Linked DNA regions of Drosophila melanogaster. The protein of the gene in region 1 interacts with the protein of each later gene in a biochemical or structural test. Each region holds a gene or a part of one and is shown on either strand. Other genes may lie near its edges. The genes, in order: plu and png.

What was found.
Region 2: of the proteins of plu (region 1) and png, one has a biochemical effect on the other in vitro, tested with the Drosophila melanogaster proteins (one study listed by BioGRID).

Annotation. Positions count from the first base shown.
Region 1 is NT_033778.4:20,262,188-20,265,569, reverse strand, and holds plu (plutonium), read left to right. Parts: upstream 1-1,885; 5' UTR 1,886-1,908; coding exon 1,909-1,924; intron 1,925-1,981; coding exon 1,982-2,386; intron 2,387-2,440; coding exon 2,441-2,544; 3' UTR 2,545-2,612; downstream 2,613-3,382. Other genes in the region: CG8908 (uncharacterized protein), read right to left, coding at 1-347, 412-638; RpS18 (ribosomal protein S18), read right to left, coding at 808-1,077, 1,138-1,323, 1,460-1,462; PCNA (proliferating cell nuclear antigen), read left to right, coding at 2,849-2,956, 3,017-3,382. UniProt on the Drosophila melanogaster protein: Inhibits DNA replication early in developments. May bind and block the action of a replication or initiation factor.
Region 2 is NC_004354.4:1,355,730-1,359,568, forward strand, and holds png (pan gu), read right to left. Parts: upstream 1,873-3,839; 5' UTR 1,805-1,872; coding exon 929-1,804; 3' UTR 759-928; downstream 1-758. Other genes in the region: CG11417 (uncharacterized protein), read left to right, coding at 1-681.

The DNA.
Region 1 (3,382 bases):
CCTCGCTGAGCTTGGCTTGCACAACCAAAAATCCCTCCACCTGATAGTAATCAACGTCCATTTTGGAGTGCTTCAAGATTGAAGTGTTGTCCCAAACCATCTTGGGATTCTTGCGTAGGTGAAGCGGAAAACGCAGGCCCACCGTGACATTAATCGGAAGCTCATTTATGTCGCTGAAGCTGTCATCAAACTCAATGCCCACGTAGCCATATGTATCCTTTCCTATCAGCGCTTTATTCAATTCAGATGCGCTGGCAAAGGCCTTACTGCCAACGGCCTTCAGATCGTGAACCACATCCTCGATGACAGCAGCCAAGACTAGATTCTCAGGTGAGTAGTAAATGTACCTGGTTGGTTCATGTGGTGTTGTCAGGGTGGCCTGGACTATTGTGGCAATCGGCTTATACATACGGCACTTTGGTTGTGATGTTGACGGGCGGGTACTTCACCGACGTCTCCTCTTGCGGCTCTCGGAACAAAGCCGTCGCCGCATAAACGAGGAAGACTACGATGGGCCCCACAATGATGATCACGCTGGTTAGCGTATTGGAGAACTGGAAGCGGGCCGTCTTGCATATGACCAGCCACAGCAGGCATATGCTGCTCTGCGTCTTCACCGGCGATTCACCACTGGACATATTCGTACAATTTAGATGACGCCAACACGTAAACAGATTAGAAATATAACAAACTTCACGTATACTCCGCACTAAAACGTTCCGGCTTCCGTGTTTTCTTTTATTTTGTGGTTGATGTGAAAATTAAAGTCGAATCGGAAATCCGTTCCGGCAGGGAACGCTGCTAAGCTTACTTCTTCTTGGACACACCCACGGTGCGACCACGACGACCGGTGGTCTTGGTGTGCTGGCCACGCACACGGAGGCCCCAGTAGTGACGCAGACCACGGTGGGAGCGGATCTTCTTCAGACGCTCCAGATCGTCACGCAGCTTCGAGTCCAAGTTGGAGGAGGTCAGCTGCCAGTACTTGCCATCGATGATGTCCTTCTGCCTGTTGAGGAACCAGTTGGGCACCTTGTACTGCAGAGGGTTCGAGATGATGGTCACCACCTTGTCGACCTGCAAACATGGCATTTAGGTTGGTGTGCGTCTCGAACGGATTGGGCGTGCTCAACTTACCTCCTCCTCGGTGCACTCACCGGCGCGCTTGGTAAGATCGACATCGGCCTTCTTCAGCACAATGTTGGAGTAGCGGCGACCCACTCCCTTGATGGCGGTCATGGCGATGCCAACCTTGCGCTTGCCGTCGATGTTCGTATTCATGATACGCAGGATGTGCTGGAACTTCTCTGGGATGACGAGCGACTGCAAGAATGCAAAGAAAAAACATTAGTATAATGCATATAAACCACGCCATTTTTGCCAACAGCTAACGGCATTTGCAATTCACTATAAATTTGTCGTTTGGCGCTCAGAATCGCACATATTTGAGGTAACTCACCATTTTGCCGTTTGTATTCTCGTATTTACTCCTCACTGTAAAGAATTAAGAGGTATTTTGTTTTAGAATTTTGGAAAAATCAAATGGGCAGCACACCACTCACCGGAAACGGGAAAAGAAAAGAAGGCCGAATTAATGTGGCTGCCTGAGGCGGAGTAAAAAACCTAAAATTGCCTGCCACGTTCGGGACGCGTGCTGTTAATAGTTCGCCGTGTGCTGTTAGGCGCACTCTGGTCCATCACTAATGCAAATTTAAAAATTCAAAAGGCGCCGAACTTTTGTTCAATGAAAATGCTTAAAGTGCCATTTAGATATGCTCTGTGTGCACATTTAAAAAATTAAACTTCATATTTTATGTTTCTTTATATTTTATATTTTATTCCCCACATTTCGTAATACGTTTTATCGTACTGCATCCCTAGAGCACCGTTATATGAAAGCTTTTCAGAATGGGTGAAATAAATGGTAAATTATATTAGCTATGCGAATTTCCAATATTGATAAAAATGCATTGCATTTAAGCACTCAGCTGCGTTGGACAGGACGATGTCGTTTCCCTGCGCATCGTGTGCACCATGGCTCGCGACGGCAAGCAGCACAACCTCGAGGATGTGGACATGTACGGGAATACCGCCCTATTGAAGGCCTGCTATTTGGGTCGATTTGAGTGCGCTCGTACGCTGCTGGAATTCGGTGCAAATATCTTTGCTATGAACTATTTTGGTCAAAATGCCCTGACACTGGCCACTTATGCTGGGCATTTGACTTTAGTAAAGGAACTGTTGAGGCGAAGATCCTACAAGGATTTCAATCTGTCCTCGATGATCCCGGCCCTCTGTGTGGCTACACTGCAAAAACACTCCGCTTTGGTGGCCTATTTTACTCAATTGGATTCGAGGGGCGTGCAAGAAACTCAAACAGTGCATGGTTAGTAAAAATCAAGTGTATTTATATAGTAACATTAAAGTAAATTTATTTCAGGTCTGGGAGTTGCAGAGCTGCGAGGAATGATTAAAGCTGCAGGCCGCTTAGATAAGCGCAATGTGCGCTCTCCTCCCACTTTTATTAGCAATCGTCTGCGTTAATGTATTGTCATTTTGTAATAATTTATTAATTTTAATGTTTGAAATAAATATACTCTGTAAAAAGTGTGAACATAATATGTTAATCAAACCAGTTGGCAGGCCGCTCGCTGGCTGCTATCGATAGATTCAGTCGATATCGCCCGTGGCTTTTCACATCCCTATCCCGCTCATTTAGCCCGCCTGAAAGTAAAAAAAAAAAACAGCCCACGTTAATCATTCATCCCAAAGTCACAGCCGCGGTAACATTACTGCTGTTAAATTCTTAAGCCCGTCATCAGTATTTAAATAATAAAACACATTCAATATGTTCGAGGCACGCCTGGGTCAAGCCACCATCCTGAAGAAGATCTTGGATGCCATCAAGGATCTGCTCAATGAGGCAACCTTCGATTGCAGCGACTCCGGCATTCAGGTAAAAATTGCACAAAAAAGATTTTAAATGCATATCCCTAACACCTTGTTCAACTTACAGCTACAGGCCATGGACAACTCCCATGTGTCGCTTGTCTCGCTGACCCTGCGTTCCGATGGCTTCGACAAGTTTCGCTGCGACCGCAATCTCTCCATGGGCATGAATCTGGGCAGCATGGCCAAGATTCTGAAATGCGCCAACAACGAGGACAATGTGACGATGAAGGCGCAGGATAACGCCGACACTGTCACCATCATGTTCGAATCGGCTAACCAGGAGAAGGTATCGGACTACGAGATGAAACTGATGAACCTCGACCAGGAGCACCTGGGCATACCGGAGACAGACTTCTCGTGCGTGGTCCGCATGCCGGCCATGGAGTTCGCTCGCATCTGCCGCGATCTGGCGCAGTTCAGCGAATCCGTT
Region 2 (3,839 bases), on another chromosome or scaffold:
CGCCGCCAGCGCCAGATCGAAGCCAGAGGAGGCGATGCCGGTGAGGACAGCGATGAGTCCATGGTGCCCGATGGCATCGATTTGAATGACGCCTATTTCGCCGAGGAGTTCGCTAATGGAGACTACGCTCCCCCTAAAACGAAGCAGGACAAGAAGAAAAAGAAAAAGAAGGGAAAGGACGATGGAGAGGAGGACGTCGAGGCGAAGCGGCAAGAGAAGGAGCTTGAGCTACTGCTGGACGATGGCGACGGGCGCGACGAGAAGCAACACTTCAGTCTGACCAAAATCCTCAAGAAGGAGGAGCAAGAAGCGAGCGGTTCAAAGCGAAAGCGTCGTCAGAAGTTAAAGAAATCGAAAAATCAGCCGCAGAATGCGGAGAAGCTGGACGACGACTTCCAGGTAAACCTGAATGATAATCGCTTCAGTGCCGTTTACAAGTCGCACGAGTACAACATCGATCCCACCCACTCCCATTACAAGCCCACCAAGGGCATGCAGCAGATCATCGGCGAGAAGTTAAAGCGCAGAAAGGAGCAGGGGGAGGGCGGCGCTGCAAACGGCGATGCGGATGGGGATGAGCAGGTAGCCCCCAAGAGGAGTAAGCAGCAGCTGGAGCAGAACGCCCTGGTAAAGAGTCTGAAGCGTAAGATCCAGCTGCAGCAGCAGGGCCAGAAGCTTTAGAGGATTAATGTTACTGTACAATAGGTGAACAAATGTAAATTAAAGACTACGTTAATGACATTGAGCGAGACTGTTTTGGAATATACATTATATACTGTTTATAGCTGACAGATCCCCTGGCAAAAGCACAGGCGCACACAAAGCACAGCACACACCTTAATTTATCGCTTAAGCTAGCCTAGTTCTTAAGTACAATGAAATATTTGTTGAGGTCTCCTCGTGCTGGTGAGCTGACCATTGGCTTCCGTTAGTAGCTGTAGCTGAAGTAATGCTTGTAGAGGGTCACAGTCATGCCGGCGTCGAGGTGGAAGATGTCTGGTAGGCAGATGCGGCGCTCCTGCTCGTAAACGACCATCAGCTCGCAAACTTGCGCCCACACGGGATCGTAGAGACGCCGGATGAGCTGGCAGTCGAGCCGGGGGCGGACCAGCGCCTGGACTACGGTGTGCAGTAGGGCAGGGGTGGCGTTCTTGTCGAGAAACGCGGCGAAGGGGCTGCGTCCGAGGCACAGCTCGTAGAGGACTAGCCCCAGTGACCACACGTCCGACTTGAAATCCACCTTGCCCTGGCTGGACATCGCCTCCGGGGCCATGTACATGGGCGTGCCCATGCCCGCCTGCAGTTGAGTGCTGGGCGCATGAACGTTCGCGATCCCAAAGTCGGCGATCTTGACGCGGTCGTTGGCGTCGAGGAGCATGTTCTCGGGCTTGATGTCTCGGTGGATGACGCAGCGGATGTGCAGGTACTCGAGTCCCACTACCATGTCGCGGAAGTAGCCCATCAGCCGCTCCTGATTGACTCCCCCGGTGCCTGACGGCAGCTGCTGGATGACATCCCTCAAGGTGCCGTTGGGCACGTACTCCATCACGATGTTCACAGTGCCCGCGTGGCTAAAGGAGCGCAGGAACTCAACGATGTGCGGGTGGCGCAGCTGCGAGATGATGTACACCTCCTCCTTGATCAATCCCAACTCTGTCTTCGGATTCCGGACGATGATCCGCTTCACGCACACCTTCCTCTCCGGCTGTCCGCGCACCTCGTTTTGGTGGCAGAGGAAGACCCGGCCAAAGGTGCCCTGGCCCAGCACCCTTACCGCACGCAGCTTAGAGTCACCCAGTTCCATCTCGAGTGCGCAGAGTTCCGAAAGCGTAATCCGCGATCCCGCCTTGATGTACAGTTAGCCAGCAAAAGCGCAAGCGCGCCATCTATCGATTGCTTCGAAACAAGAGATGCACAGTTCCATCGGAAAAAGCCGAAAACTCGGAACTTCGGAAACCCCATATGAAAATTGCTCATCTGGCCAGCAGCAACAGTGCTCAATGAAAGTAAGTTATTAGAGTCTGGTTAATTAATCAAACTAACGCATCGTGAACTAACCCCATTCAAAAAGTCCATCCATGTGAAAAGTATGACTATCCTAAATTTTTATTTATTTTATTTAACAAAATTAAATATAGTATACAATACTAAACCTAATTAAATTTAATGAGTACTAGCTACGGGGGCCTTCGACTCGAGACTTATGGGTTAATTGCTTTATATAATAAACTTAGCTTTTTGGACAAATTTGTAAATTTTTGAGATATTTTCACAGGATGGGATACTTAAACAATTCGAGAGACTATGTGTACCAAATAAGTGAGATCTAATTGAGTGCAATTGACTGCAGGCGTTGAGAATATGGTCAACGGTGAGCTCGTCCCCGCATAGTTGGCATGTTGGTCGCGCCGATCTCATCAGTAAGTGTTGATGTGTGGATTGGGTGTGCCCGATGCGTAGACGGATAAAGGTCGCGCATTCCCGTTTATGTACGTTCGTTGGTGGCTTGAACATGATGCAATTCGGATTGATAGACTGGTACCTGTGCATGAAGAGTGCCCATTCGGAGAGTTTCTTTTCTTTGAGGTATAACTTGATTCGACTTTTTAGGTCCTTGGAGTTAAACGGAGTGAACAGGATTGATGGTGTAAGCCTCATCTCTTGGGCGGCTTTGTCAGCAAGTTCATTCCCATGAATACCTTGATGACTGGGAACCCAGAGTAAGGTGATTTTTTTTGGGTGAGAACTTAGAATGTGCCTAACTTCTTGTGTTGTGGGGTCATTATGGTTCCAGTTGCGTATAGCGGAAAGAGAGGAGAGGCTGTCTGTGCAGATAACAGATTTTCCAGCGTTTTTGGAAGCGAATTGGCATGCTTTGAGAATGGCGAAAGCTTCGGCTGTAAATATGGAGTTGTAGGACGGAAGCCTACCTCCTGCAATTATTTTACGGTTAGAGTCAACAACCGCAAAAGTAGTTGCGCCGGTGACTTTAGAACCATCGGTGTAGATCCAGTTTTTCACACCAAGATCTTCTTGTGCGCTCATAAAACGTTTTTGGTATTCTAGGCGACCTGTATCCTTTTTGGCAGCATTGTATATTTGAAGGTTTATGTTAGGCTGTTTGGAACCCCAAAGTGCTGGCGATTTGAAGGGCCTCCTGGGCTTAGGCAGGGGAAGGTCAAGTAGCTTGATGTAGTTGGCGCAACGTCTTAGGGTGGATATGCACTTGAATTTCCGTTTTTGTTTAAATATGGCTCCGAAGTCTTTGGTTAGCAGGCAGTTTGACGTGGTGTACAGCTTCGGGATAAGCATCAATGTAGTTTCTTCTACGCGTGATTGGATACTCGGGAGACCCGATTCTGCCAATGTGCACGCTACTGGAGATGTGGGAAATGCGTGAATGGCGCGACGGACCGCTCCGTGATATGGGACTTGTAGCTTTTTTAAGTGTGATTTAGCACACCAACCGAAGATTGGCAGTCCGTAGTCAATTTTAGATAGCATTAAAGCGCGCGTTCGGCATTCCACAGTCTTCGGGTGGAGACGTGTTTCTTTCAAGCTACGAATAGCAAGTTCTAAAAACTACAACAGTATAGTGAAAGTTAAACACAAAGTGTAAAGTGCAGTTTGCACAACTAACAATTATTGACTATAGTAATTATTTACTAAAATAAATAATTATTCCATATTGTTCTGGTAATTGTTATATGTGGACTTAGAACAATGAATCAAAACGACATACGTTCTCAGCGACAATGTGAACAAGACGAGCGCCGGCTCTCTTTACAACGCAACAATGCATACTTTTCTTTCGTCTCACCGCAAATCGGTGATCGAGC